Linked DNA regions of Astyanax mexicanus. The main gene of each other region encodes a partner of the protein of the gene in region 2 in a complex. Links are inferred from orthologs where the notes say so. Each region holds a gene or a part of one and is shown on either strand. Other genes may lie near its edges.

What was found.
Region 1: the proteins of protein diaphanous homolog 1 (region 2) and ppfia3 are in contact, whole or in part, in a crystal structure (PDB 4UWX), measured with the Mus musculus proteins. The link is inferred for Astyanax mexicanus from reciprocal best matches to the Homo sapiens genes DIAPH1 and PPFIA3. Residues at the interface, in NP_031884.1 of Mus musculus: Lys252, Ser255, Ala256, Ile259, Gln307, Asn310, Ala311, Thr314, Pro315, Ala316, Glu317, Arg322, Gln352, Cys354, Val355, Glu358, Gln359, Glu362; in NP_084017.2 of Mus musculus: Pro719, Arg720, Arg723, Leu724, Arg726, Met727, Ala728, Ala730, Leu731.

Annotation. Positions count from the first base shown.
Region 1 is NC_064426.1:17,738,171-17,745,908, forward strand, and holds the start of ppfia3 (liprin-alpha-3), read right to left. Parts: upstream 3,075-7,738; 5' UTR 2,900-3,074; intron 1-2,899. UniProt on the Homo sapiens protein: May regulate the disassembly of focal adhesions. May localize receptor-like tyrosine phosphatases type 2A at specific sites on the plasma membrane, possibly regulating their interaction with the extracellular environment and their association with substrates.
Region 2 is NC_064409.1:66,225,406-66,233,046, reverse strand, and holds the start of protein diaphanous homolog 1, read right to left. Parts: upstream 3,057-7,641; 5' UTR 2,354-3,056; coding exon 2,243-2,353; intron 1-2,242. UniProt on the Homo sapiens protein: Actin nucleation and elongation factor required for the assembly of F-actin structures, such as actin cables and stress fibers. Binds to the barbed end of the actin filament and slows down actin polymerization and depolymerization.

The sequences.
Region 1 (7,738 bases), on a different chromosome or scaffold from region 2:
AGAAACAGTAAAAACGGACTGGCTGAGCTCTGTAGCCCGTGGCTGGGCTGTACTGAAGTAGTGACTGAGTGAAAAGAGCGGGGCTTGTGCTGCTGCTGCTAGTGGTTGGATGAAGAACTGCAGCTTCATGTAATGAGCAGTTTCACCAGCCATCCACACACAGCTCTGATAAACTGCTTGTTTTAATAGTGCACACTGTTGCTACCAAAAAAAGTCACTAGATGGCATTACCATATATATCTTAATAAATAATAATAATAATATTTATAATATTTATAATAATAATAATAATAATAATAATAATAATAATAAATATATTATTTAAATTTTATGAGGCATAAAATAATAACAAGAAAAAAAAACAAGAAAATCGAGAATCGAATCGAATCGTGACCCTCAAATCGAAAATGAAATCGAATCGAGGATTTAGAGAATCGTGACACCCCTAATTACTACAGACAATTACTACTGTTTTACGACAAGATACTGCTCAAGAATTATAAGAAAAGCCAACAGGAGTACTTTACAAATGTTTCATTCTGGAAGCTATGGGAGGCCCAACTGTCTGAACTGGAAGCCCAACTGCATGTTGTCTGTTTTATGCAAAATTGGATATTTCCAAACATTAGGTAAACATTTGTGGAGATCTTTGAGTTTAATCAACTTATAATAACTTTTTAGTTTAGTCTATTGCCATTGGCAGTTTCTTTTCCATTGGCTTTTAGCACAAACTATTTGCATACTGGGTGTGTCTCATCAGTGTACAGTTACACCCTGTCCCCCGAGCTACCTCTGGTGAACTTGTAGATCATATATGATGATTAACTGCTTCGCCCCTATGTTGTAGGCTGTAAGAACAAGCATGCTGCTGATTCTGTGTTGGCTGTACTGTTCTACTGTTCTCTCTATATCATTTTCTATCATCTTCTATCTAATTTTCTACTAGTATTTTAAACATGTATTTTACTTAAATTAAATCAGAGAGAAGTCTAAATACAATTTATTTCTATTTTATTCACCTGACCATAACATTCAAAGTAGAATTATTATGCAAAGCAATTGATAAATAAATGTAAAAAAAATGTAATGTAATCAAATGTACTTACAATTTAGACATAACTAAAAGTTTTTAGTCTAACACAAGTTTTCAGTAAACATTACTTAAATTTAGTTAAATTTGACTCATCAAGGCTTACAGCATGGGAACAATTAAGTTCTGTCCAAAGGGGCTATGTTGACATCACATATGGATGTCAGTGATGGGCTCTTTGGGCCCCATCTAGATTGTACACTACACAACTGTTGGTCTAGATGGGACCCATGTGAGGTTTGCTCACACAGGTTGGCTGTAACAAGGGTGCCCATTTGGAAAGCCCAACTGGGTCCCAGTAAAAACACAGGTATAAACCCACTGAGAGCCCATACCCACCTAAAACTGACCTGAAACCCACGTTCCACCCATGTGAGCCCTACATAAAAATGCAGGCTCGGATGATGTATCTAAATGTGAGAAAATGAAAGATACAACTTGACTGAACAGGCCAATGTTGCTAACAATGAATGAACATTAACAATATACAACATTAGCAGATCTATTTTATCATTCATCTGTTTACTTCTCATTTGTGGCTCTTTGTTTTCACTCATTTATGTTGAATTAGCATTAGAATTATCTGTTTGACCTAATAAAGCTCAAAATCTTAACATAAAGTATCAGACGGCACAGACACACTGAAGACACACGCTGAAAACTAGCAGTGCTTGGAAAAATGCTGGCAGTGCCTTCCCACAGCTAGGTTAGCTAGATTAGCCAGACTCATTAGCTAGGGCTGAGGCTTAAAGCTAGTCTCGGTAGGCCACAAACCATGCAACACCATATGTAGCCTATATATCTACACCAGGATCGAGATAGAAGGAGAAAACAAAATAAGACAACATAAACCCATTACTGGAAAAATGCCTTTTTACTGCCAGCTGTCTGTATAGACACATGCAGCTCTGGAGTTTATTTCTTATTTTTTTGGCTCCATTTGTTTTATTCTCATCTCATATAAACATATAAACACACGGACTCACAGGAAAACACACGCAAACACTTGCAGCTACATAGCAGACGCATTTTCTCGGTAGAAAAAGGGCCTGTCAGGCAGATATGTGAGTGATTTGTGTGATGTAAGGCTGTAGCTGCTCTCTCCTGTGCAGAGCTGAGCTGTTAGTCATGAGGCTAATAATAATGGAGGCGCAGGAGAGAGAAAGGCACGGTGAGGCTGAGTGTGTATGTTTGTATGATGATGTGTGAGAGTGTATGTGTTGTGTGTGTGTGTGTGTGTGGTGTGTGGAGAGCTATGGCTGAAAACTGAAGACAGGGAGGGGATTGGGAAGCATTACATATATATATATATATATATATATATATATATATATATATATATATATATATATATATATATATATATATATATATGATTAAAACATTCACAGATGGGTGTTTGGTTTGTGTTTGTGCAATAATGAGCATCAGCATCATGTTTCCAATGCAATTGGAAAGCTGACATAATGTGCAATGTTATAAACACTATGTATATATACGTGTGTGTATGACGTGCTCGTGTTCGCGCAGAATCAACGAAGCCAGTGCACATGCATTGCAAAACAATATATATAATAAAGATATAATGCCAATTTCAGCTACTGTATCGATGAATATCCATGCACGAGCCCCATTCAGACCCTTTTCCCCCACTCCTTAGCTATATATACCCCCCACCCCCACTCCTTCCTCCCATCCATCCATCCATCCATCCATCCATCCCATCCATCCATACATACAGCCTCACAGCTGGGCGACAAACGCACGCACGCACACGCTGCAAAAAAAGCTGCAAAATACAGCACGCACGCGCTCACCCCGCTCACGGTCCAGAATCTCTGCAGGTCATCGTGAAAACCGGAGCGACGAACCAGTTCGTCGTTATTCTCCTCCGGTTTGTCGTTCTCTCCTCTCTCTCTCTCGCTCTCTCAGCTCTACACTTCACACACTCAACCTCTCTCTACCCCTCTCTCTCGCCCTCTCTCCCCATGCAATAAAAAGGTGCGCGCGCGGTCTTAAAGAAACCCTGCCTCTTCTATAGGAACGCGCATGCGCGCACACGCAGACTACACACGCGCGCGCGCGTGCACTTACATACATAAACGTATATACATATATGCATAAATATATACATATATTAATACATATATACATACATATATACATACATATGAATATATACGCACCCAGTCTAGTAACTTACATAAAAGAAACCTCAGCCATCACCTTTAACACACACCTCATTGCCCATGGTTATGACAGGTGTGTGTGTGCACGAGAGAGAGAGAGAGAGAGAGAGAGAGAGAGAGAGAGAGAGAGAGTGTGTTTGTGTATGTGTGTGTGTGTTTGTGTGCGTATGTGTGTGTGCGTGTGTGTGTGTGTGTGTGTGTGTGTGTGTGGTTGAACCTGCATCCCCCCACCTTCATACACATCTATAAACAACATCAGCGCCGTTACCACGGACAACCGGAGCCCGAGCACGCTCATGCGCGCCACCTCGCGGGAGCGCGCACGCACAAGCGCAGGCACAAACTACATACACGGCCTGCACACATCTTGTATAAAAAAACCTTTACAAAAATTATAGCTTATTTAAAGCTCCTTATCTGAGCCTAAATAACATTCATACAAAAAGTAGTGTTTTACTTCACTGTGTTTGTTAAAACTTCTCCAGAACTATCCTTATGTGTGTCTTTGATATATGCAAATAGTCTAAATAATTAAATAAATTTATAAATCAGAAAATGTATCCATAATGAAAAGGGAGACATTTTACACACTTTTCAATCAATTAAACCAAAGCTTTTGTTCAACTAAAGAAACTCTGTTTTTTTATCCCTTTAAGTGTTTATTAGTTTTAATTAATAACGATAAATATCACATACTGTGATGCTGTAAAATGTTTGCTATTATTTGATTTTCACAGTTTTACCACAGTTTTACCACCATTGCAAAACATATATATAAGCAACTAATGTAACTTTTAAACCAATCCACTTTCCAATTGAAGTGGGCACCCCGGGTTTCATATAGCATAGCTATAAATTTGTATTTTGAGTTATTTTAAGATACAGCAATTACAGCACAATGTCTCTTGAAAGTAAGGCCACAACCGTTCTAGACTGGTTAAATTATGATGTGTAGCTTCTCCTCCGCCTATTTTTTTATCCAAACTCTCTTTCCACCTCCTGTTTCTAATTTCAACAGTTCGTTTTCCTTGTGCTAATATTGGCACATTTGTCCCCCAGAAATGAGTTTTTACAGTATTCTGCTGTATCATTTAAAACAGATACAAACTGAATAGACCATCTGCACAAGCTGTATCACACCTTTTCTGTTCGTTACATGGAGCAGCTGAATTGTTGTGAAACTTGAACTTGCTCATGAACTGAACTTTTGCTGTGTAAACGTTACATTAAACAAATTGGGTTTTCCAGGGGGAAAATTCACTCTGCTTTTGAGCTGTAACGTCAATGAAGACAGTCTGAGATACTTTCAGATTAAAATTCAGATGTGCTCCCAGATACCTGCCATTATTATTACACATACACACATCTCACCCCCTCCCTACACAAACATTGTATACAATGTTCATAAAGGCACAAAAACACACTTAAACTGCATATACACACTTCAACTTTCTTAAAAAACACACATTATTCATATACATAAACCGTTTACACATGCACACGACACACTTAGTATACATACATACACACACATGTGCCCACACACACACACACACACACACACTTTTAATTCATTTTAAGCCAAAATTATTTTTGTAATTTAATTTACAAAGTAAAAAGATCTAATGAATATAATATTCATATAATATAATTTATAATAATGTCCAAATTATTATAATTCAATAATAAATAATTATTTAATTATTGTATTTATAATAATTTAATATTTGTGCTTAATATGTGTGTTTAATGTGTCATGTACGGTTTCCTCTTCAGTATTTTATGTGTTTGTGTGTTCGCCCCCCCCAAACACACACACTATTTTTCATTGCAAATCTATTTTCTGCATTTTTTTCTATTTTCTGCATATTGATAATGGGAATCTCACTACGTGACGTCATTGGAAACCAAACGGCCCGCGAGCAGCAGACAGGAACGAGCCAATCAGCATGAGCCACAGGGGACCTCTGAGCCAATGAGGAGCGAAGAAGAGGCGGGGACAGCGTGCCGATAACGAGCCAATGGAAGTGAAAAGCGAGAGTGAATAAGTACGGGTGCGCGCGCGCCTGCGCGCGTGTGTGTAGAAAGGGGTGCAATAGGGTGGGGTAGCGCGAGAAGCGTCCTGAAAATGGATGACGTAATGTGGTTTTAGAGAATGATGTCATCCCCAGGCACAAGAAATGGGGGAGGAAGGAGGAGGGGGGGGGATCTGAAGATGCACGTGAGGGGCCGTGCGAGGACAGAGGTATGTGTGTGTGCGCGCGTGTGTGTGTTTAGGTCAGATATTGCTCATTTGGTGTCTTTTTTAGGATTTGTTTGAAAGGAAACAGCATTGTGCCCCTTTTTCGTCTCTCTCTCTCTCTCTCTCTCTCTCTCTCTCTCTCTCTGTCTCTCTCTCTCGCGTGCTCTCTCTCTCTCGCTTTCTCAAACACACACACACACACAAACACACGAATACACACACACTGCATTAATGTGGTGTGGTTCTTTCTATCAGCCCTGTTAACTAACCGGCTGGCTCTCCGTCTACGCAGCTGATTCTCTCAGCATCTCCAGGCTGCCGGTTTCCATGGCAACAGAGGCAGCAGGCACGGCAGTCGGGGCTCTTTTGGAGCTTCAGCATCACCTCCCAGCCTGGTGCCAGCATGCGGGACGGGGGAAGCCCCTTCCCAGAGACACTGGGACACCCCTCCCCCCTTCTTTCTTTTCCTGACTCTCACTGGGGTCAGAAAAAGGTCAGGGCCAGGGGTCAAAGCAGGTGGTCCAGCCTAGTGCTGCTGTTTTGTCATTGTTTTAAATTAGGGTGACCATAAGTCCTCCTTCTTGGATCTAAACATGCGTCCGGCCAGGATGTCACATTGATTTTATGTCAGCATTTCCTTTTAAAGTCTGTGTATGGGTTTTTTCAGGTTTAAACACACCTCTTTAAGCCCTGCCTCCTCATCCCCACAACTGTTCTATATGTACCTGCATGTGCATGCAGCCACTGAGAGAAAGACATTCTGTGCTTTCCATCTTGGTGGGAATTCTTTATTGTAAAAGAATAAAAAGATCAACAATCCAATCAATCACACATAGCTATGGCCCGTCGGGCACACCAGAAGGACTGAATAGTGGCTGGTCAAATAGTGGATATTTTTTACGGCAACATTGATCTATTGATGCATTTATGATTAGTTTATATTGGCATTAGAAAAATTCTACAAAATAAAAAACATTTGAAAACAAAATGCAATTGAAAGCAATATCAGTATTTGACCCACTCCCTCTTAGCAATCTTAACAACATAGTCTTACTGGACTGCAGTATCTTACAGCTGCCCAATTCAACACGTTTCCTTAGTGTAGTTAAGTGATATAAGCAAGTTTACTTTGAGAAGCAGCTGTTTACCATGCTTCTCCATCATAATAAGCAGCATTGTCAATTTGGTCAACCACCTCATTCACACTAAGCTTACCATCAACTAAATAAAATCATATGATGTTCTGTTGAAGAGCTAAGCTGTTCAGCTTGCTCAATTTCCAGTGTAAGGGTATGTTTTGCTCTGGGTGAGCAGCTTTTGAACCTTGAAACCTTGACCATTAAGGACCAGCTTAAATAAAACCAGGTAGATGAAGCTGATGTTATTCTGACTTTTTTTTAGCAGGGAAGTAAAATAGTGCAGTAATTTGTTCCTCAGTACCACTGAAACAGGATTGGGATTTCTGTACAGCCCTGTAGGCTGACCTGGTCTCAGGCTACATTGCTCAACATTACCAAACCAAAGCTTAGATTGGGCCGACCCTACCTGAGCCCGTGTATGTTTTGTTTGAGCCTGAACCCAATTTAAAGGAGAAATCTGGTGTGAAATGGACTTGGGGTGTACTGAAACATGATAATGAGTAAACATTTTGTTTACCTCCATTCACTGCCAGCATATTGAAATACAGAGCTTTTAGCCAATGATTCGAACAGGCTTACAATGCTAGTGATAGGGGCATAGTGCTGTCCACGCAAAGAAATCACTACTTTTACACCATTATCATGTCAAAGTAGCTCCGCACTTTATTGGTAGAATTAAAGTAGAATTGAAACATAATCATCTATGTGTTAGACTTTAAAAGCAAGTGTATTTTATGTGATGCATGAGTGAGTTTGATATAAATAAACAATCATTAATAATGAAGAAAACAATTATAAATACTTGTAATTATTACATAATTAATACATAACAATGTACAATACATTAAATAAATTACAATTATTACATAAATAACAAAATAAAATTAAATACAGGTATTCTGCATATGATTATGATTTTATCTGTAGTTTATCTGTAAAATTACAGGCAGATTTGTCCACTGAATGTATCCAACATGATACAACATATACATCAAGCAGGAGCTATAACTATATTTTTCATATATTTTTATAAACTAGTCAGAAGATCAAACAAACAATTTATAAAAAAAGCTCTCTC
Region 2 (7,641 bases):
TTTCCAGGAACCTTTACAAGCCGTGCTATAAAATGTTTTCTGTAAAGTGGTTCTGTTTTAATTAGAGTACCCTCAAAAAAGTAACATATGAGTTTCACTGAACACATATGTTTGTGTGTATTAATGTATTTTATTCATCCTGCATCCCTTGCAGGCCTGAAGAAGCAGGCAAAGATAAAGATGCACCACGTCTATTGTCTGCAAGCTCTCCGGGAGACAGCGGATGGGTATCACTATAAAGGGATAACAAACACCAGGTGTGTTTACGAATCTATGGTAACATTAGGAGGGTGAATATCAGTTTTCTTAAGATGAAAAGACTGGGAGATAGGATAACACGCTGAGCGCTGTCATCCAGCAAGGCTGAACTGCCTGGCTTGACTCACTTTTCCCAGACTATGACGTAACAGAGTTCCCTTTTCCAGTAGTAACCACAAACACAGTCTCAGGAAGCTTTACAGCTGGCTGAGACACACAGGTCCAGCCCACACTGGCTGAACTAGTCTGTGTGCCAAGTGACAGCCTTTGAGGCTACCAGTGGCAGATCTGATTTTAAAATGAGATCTGTTCAGGCAGGCATTAACACTCCCATGCCATCCATGACTTGCATTTAAACATGTTAAGCATTAAATAACCGAATCAAACTGACCACATTTAAGTCTGAGAAGAAATTTAATTATTTACATTAGGTACAATAATGTACGTACATTCGGTACAGACATTTTGTATAATCTGTTTGTTTTTAGCTTCTTGTAAAATCAAGTGTCTTAAAAAGACATTTTGCATTAAGAAGAGTTATTGCTGCTTTTGTTGGAGCATCTATTTCTAATGCCTAGCAAAGGCCTTCTACTAAATTCTGGAGCATTGCTAGAGCATGACAAGAGCATTAGTGAGGTCAGTGTGTTAGGAGGATGATCACCTCTTCACCTCTTATTCTCAACTCCCCAACTCTTCCCAAAAGCACCAACCTTCCAGAGAACACAGTTGCACCACTCCACAGCTCAATGCTGGGGGCTTTACTGCCCTCTGTGCCATGCCTGGCATTAGGCACAGTGCCAATAGGTTCATGTTTATTTATCTGCTCCAGAGAGTCCTGCACAAGCTATGTGCATGCACTTGGACATATTTCCCAGCAACTGATTTAAAATTATAGAGCTGGATTTCTGCATTAGTTATAGAAAGGGGTCCACAAACTTCCCAGACAGGGATTAATACTAGTCATAGATTTATACATAGTGTATTCAGTGCTCAAAACCACTAAAAACGTAGATTTGTATTCAACTTTTAGCAAATTTAGAACTGACAGTGGTTTGTGTGGTACAGTGGATAACACAACCACCTGCTGATGGTCTACCAAGTGGGAGGCTGGGGTTCAATAAGAGTCCTAACACTAAATTGGCCCAACTCTGTAATAGAAATAACCTTGTAAGCCACTCTGGAAAAGAGCATCAGACAAATGCCTTAAATGTAATCTAAATGTAAAAAGGGTGCACAACTTTTTTTTGACATATGGGGTTGGTTTCTTAGACAGGGATTAAGCCTAGTTGTAGACAAAATGTTTCCTTTAAATATATAGTATTTATTTGAAATGCTAAAATGCTATATAGTACAAGACTTGGCTAAAACTTAGTTTCCCCTGTCTGGGAAACTTGTCTCAACACATGTCCCATAAAGTGTTACAGTCCACATGGTCTGTTAGAGTAAAACCCAAACCCCCTCCACTGGCGTCCTATATTTTACACACACACATACACACACACACACACACACACACACACACACACACACACACTTTACACACTGCTGTTACTTCCTCATCATTAGCGAAGGCAGGGCACGTAGATTGTCTCTTAAACTCAGAAAAAGCACAGACTACTCTAGGCTTGATTCGCATGGCTCAGAAAAACGCCTGCCTGCTGCCTCCTCTTCTCTTTTGTTTTCTAGTAAACTACATTTGAATTAAATTAGACAGCTAGCTAACTAGCTAAGTTTGATGGGAACAGGAGTGTTTGGATGAGTGTAGCTGCTAGCTAGCTTTGCATAATCACTTCTTAGAGCCTTCTAGCACTTTAGCACTTCAGCACTTCATGACAGTACACTTGACAGTACATGGTGTGATTCAGTGAGTGCTTCTGTGATGTGACAGCAATGAGAGAAAACCTGCGGGACATGTAGCTCGTTTATAGTTAGTTATTCCGCCAGCTACAGCTTGAGTAACTTTAACCCAACTCAAAATACTCACAAATTTCTTCTTCTCATTTCCCTCGTCGTAGGTTTTCTTGGGTTTCTTCTCTTTGGTGCTTTTTGAAGAAGCACCAGAGGACGCTGAGTTCCCAGAGTTTGGAGGATCCATGGTGAATCTAATCCAAACTGATTGAAAACAATGAAGGCAGTATCCAGTTCTCCGGCGCTGTGGAGCTTTTTTTACACGCTTTTCTTGACGGTGAACTGTAGCTAACTAACAAAGCTGAGTTAGCTACTGTAACTCAGAAATTATCCTCTGCTTCCTCCAGACTGCTACAAAAAGTACGTTAGTTCGCTAAATAAATCCCCGCGGCCTGAAAGAAAGAGGCTGAGAACCCAGAGAGCCCTCAGTCACACAGGCAGTCCCCACATAAAGGAGGGAAAAGGGAGGGAGATTTGAATAGGAGCCCCCTCTTAAAAGCACCTAAATCTCTTCCTATCAGTGACTTACTACAAGTTTACTTCCACTAAAGTCCGTTTAAAGTGGAAATAACGCAAAAAACACGCACTTTAACCGTCTTATTAACGTGTTAACTCAAGTTTGGCTAACGTAACGTTGACTACTCGTGTGTACTTAGCTAACAACTACCGCCCTCAACCTTCTGCTAACCTTCAACAAACCCTCAAAAAACTTCACCACCCCCTCACAGAAACATCCAGCGCCGCGTGGTTTCCCTCGACGAACATCCCGACAAGCACATTTCCCAACTTTATTCCCATACTAGCTAAATTCTCCCAGCTCTTTCGCTCGTGTTTACTAAAGAACAACAGAAGCTCTCGCGCGGCTCCTCGTCGCTTCCTGCCTCGCTCTCAGGCACGCAGGTTAGCAGCGCGAGGGCGGGGTTACGCACGAGGGCCTCACCTGAGATAGCACTGCGCGTGCACTGTGCTTTTCACTTTTCTAAAAACAAAATAATACTACAAAATAAAAAAAAGAATATTTCAATGAATGCTCCATAAATAATTCAAAATAACACAGTTATTTACAGGCAGTCTGTAGCCTACATATATATTGCTCTTTAAACTGCCCACTATCTGAACTAAAGACTGTGAAGTGCCTAAAGTTTTGTTTCTAAATAAAATTATGAAGGGTTGATACATTTTTCACTTTTTTTTATTAAAATATGTTCACAACAGTTATTGTAGGCAAAAAAAATATATTGTGATTTTCTTTTCTGTTACCCAACAGCTCCACCATGTGTGAAGATTAGGAGCAGCATGTTCAATCTCAGCTATAAAGGCCGGGCTTTCATCACGCAAAAAAAGCCAACAAGTGTTAGACTGTAACACAAAGCATGGATTCTCAGATACCCAGATTACTTAAGTTTAAGGAGTACTACTGACAACATTTTGCCCAAATTCCAAATACAAATATTGTCATTTAGCGCATTTATGTGCAGAACATGATAAATGTCTAAAATAACAAAAAAAAAGATGCAGAGCTTCCAGACCTCAAATAAAGCAAAGAAAATAGTTCATATTCATAAAGTTGAAAGAGTTCAGAAATCAACATTTGGTGGAATAACCTTGGTTATTAATCACATTTTTTCATGCATATTGGCATGTTCTTCTCCACCAGTCTTACACACTGCTTTTGGATAACTTTATGCCATTCCTGGTGCAAAAAAAAGCAGTTCAGCGTTGTTTGATGGTTATGATGGTTTTCAATTAGGTAAAATCAAAGGAACTCATCATTTTTAGATTTCAAACTGTTCACTAGACATTTATTGCATTTATTTTCTTTAATCAATTCGGCTCTTTGGAATTTTATTCGTAAACCATATTTGTTTCTGCTCATTTTATCTTTTGTCTCTTTTTTTTGTCATCAATTTTATACTTATGTATACTCATTTATATTAATACAACTTAACTTGTAGATCCTCTTAAATCTTAAAATCAGCAGCAAAGCAAAAAAAAACTTATGATAGAAATTAGAAGAAACTGTGAAATCCATCTTGTTGAATACCCCAAACCATCGTACAGAACAATAAATCTCTACCCTATTACTTACATCTCCTGGATCTCTAAACACACAGTCCATTCCCCTTATAAAGGACTTGGTATTTACCTTATGAGCCTGAACAGATGTGCTAAAACAGAGGATGCTTAAAATGTGAAGCTTCCCAGAACTGGCATTTAAGAAAGTGGTTTACAGCCATTATATTATATTTGATTTGTTTTTAGTTTTTTTGTTTGTTTGTTTTTTACATTTTTGTTGATATTTACTTTTCCTGTAACTTATAAATGATGCATTATAACTCATGATGTGTTTATTATAGTAGTGTTGGAGACAATTATAGTTAATAATTTACACACTTTAAAAAAACAGAGGTATGAAAGGAGTATTTTTTTTTTTACTCAAAGGTACACTGTTCATAATTGTACCCTCAAATGTACAATATTGGTCTTTACAGGGTCAGATTTGTTCCCTCTGAAGTACAAAGTAATTTCTAACAGCAATAAGTACAAATTTGTACCATTTAACCAGTCAAAGGGTACATTCAGTATTCTGTACCACTGTACTAATAAACAATATATATTTTATTTGCACACTTTTTTATTTGAGAGCCAGACACTTTTGCATCATGAAGACACATATTTAGTTGATGATAATGTTTATAATCTTTATAATCTTTACTGGCATAAAAACATGGGTACAAAAAAGGACTTTCACTGGAAGGTACTTTTTTGTACCTCAATATAAGGTACAGCCCTGGCAACAAGCTTTGTACTCTTTTAAGTACAAATCTGTACTTACTTTTCTAAGTGTGCATACACTTACAAAAATAGGCTGCAAAATTCAACATATAACTCTGTTTCAAGCAGATATGTAAATGATTATAGGTCTGGCCTGATTAGACACTGGGTCTTGCCATAGGATAGCATTTTTTTCCCTCACTGCCCTATAAAATGCTCTCAGAGGCTACTTGGACTGCTACAGACTGGAAGCATGTCATCTTTTACAATGAATCTAGGTTCTGTTTGGGACACTAAAAGCTCAGTAATATGTGCAGGACAACTACATGTACATCTGTATAGCCTCTAATTGCAGGACATCCATCTGCCTTCTTTTATTTTATAGCATGATAATGCTTGCCCATACACAGCAAGGGGTTTCTAGCATTTCCCTTATCAACAGATTTATAGTTAATTCTTTTTTCATTTTTATCAAGAGTTTACAGGATCTACAGACCCAGCTGCAACAATCTGGGCAAATGTGCCACAGGAAGCTCAAGATGGTACTAGAAACTTCTTTTAATTGTACTGTTTCCCCACGCAATCCACTTTTGTTTTAATATTGCATGTATCATTATCATATTAACGTATATAAAGTTTCATACTACAGAAACTCATTAGTTTGTATTCTGATGCAGTAGATCCTGGATCTTTTTAAAAAGTATTCCTGGGAGCTTGAGAAGCTATCAGATGGTTGCGACTGCTCTACCTAGTTCTCAACATCCATACATGACACATCCATAAGCTTAAACCAAGTTGCCGTTACAAACTAAACATATAACCAGAATAATTTTCAGAAGCATAACTCAAATCATGTTCCTTTTGACTTCATTTCAAACTCTAAAGAACAGCAGGTGAAATCCTGCTGACGTCTGCCTTATGTTCACTTCATTTGGTCCAGGCTAGAATTAACATTCAACAGAAACCTAAGCCTGACAGAAAGAGATATCTCTGGCAAACCAGTCGTTTTTTTTACAGCTGAGAAACAGCCACTGTCACTCTGCTCATGCAAATTCAACACCATATTGTCCATAGCACTCTCTCCTTGTGAAAAAAAATGTGCTGACTCAACCCAGTTTTATTTTGGTTTCTTTCCAGTTGATGCGATTAAGTATTATCATTTCTTCTGCACTCATTTCCATTTCCATTTACACGCTTCCCTTCACCCCCCTCAATCCACCCACATCTGCGCACATGCGCAACAGTGTGGGCATGTTCTGTGATGCATTGGTGTGCCTCTGTGCACTCTTTTCTCTGCAGGCAGTAATGATACCGTAGCTGCATCACCAGGATTGAGCCTTCACGTTGGCTGATCTTTGGCAGGCGATTTAAAAATAGACCTATTACACACATGCACACACTTGTGTGGATACAAACACATACATGCATGTTTCGAATTCCTGTCTCTGAGGGGGGTTTTCATGTTTTATTTTGTCTCTTTTTTTCTTTTTGATCAAGACTTTGGGTGTTTCCATAAGAATACATAAAGGAGCTTCCCATCTGCCCTATTTACAGGGGTTGGACAATAAAACTGAAACACCTGTCACTTTAGTGTGGGAGGTTTCATGGTTAAATTGGAGAAGCCTGGTGGCCAATCTTCATTAATTGCACATTGCACCAGTAAGAGCAGAGTGTTAAGGTTCAATTAGCAGGATAAGAGCACAGTTTTGCTCAAAATATTGCAATGCACACAACATTATGGGTGACCAAGATAGCAAGTCTTTGTGATGTATCAAGTGCCACGGTATCCAGGGTTAATGTCAGCATACCACCAAGAAGAAGGACAAACCACATCCAACAGGATTAACTGTGAATGCAAAAGGATGCTGTCTGAAATTTCATTTCAGCTTCAGTTTCATTGTCCAACCCCTGTAGATAGTGTACCTCCTGGTGAGAGCTCATTGACTGCTATAGACATGGCTCTATGACATACTCAAAGACATTTTGCTCAGACTTTAAGCCTAACCTTAGGATTTAAAGGAAACCCTTTGCACTTAGGTACATTTTTCAATTTTGAAAAACTGCATATAAAAGTGGAGCCATGCCCCAAAGTTTGGACAAGCAGCCTTCTGACCTGAAGGTTGCTGGTTTGATTCCATAAACTGACAGAACATGACTATGAAGTGACCCTGAGCAAGGCAAACTAACCCCCCCATAGCACCACAACTAGGGATGCACCACGTCCTCTGGGTACAATGTGTGTGTATGTGTGGTCACCAGTGTGTTTGTGTGTGTGTGTATGTGCATCAATGTTGTTAAAGGTGGAAGTCGAATGCGTATGTGTGCCACACAAAAGGTGATTGAGTGATTCTTCTTCGTGCTTTTATATTCATTATTAAAAACGTGTGTTTTCCTTTTATAGGGACCCGTCGATTCTCACCATTATTTATCCTGGGGCTATTCGGTCCTCACAATGAGGCACACACACCCACACCCACAAATCCATACTCTATAGGCCACAGTAATGCTCTTAAGGAGAGCTGATCATTGATGCACTGCACGCTGCTGCTGATATAAGGCCAGTCAAAGGGCAGTCCGACATTTTTAATGAGGCCCATTATGAAGCCTATAGCCATTAAGCATGCTCCATTGCTCCCTTCCCCCCTGAAAGTTTAGTAGAAAATGCTAGTGAAATAAACGACTGTAAAATGAGCCTGGGCC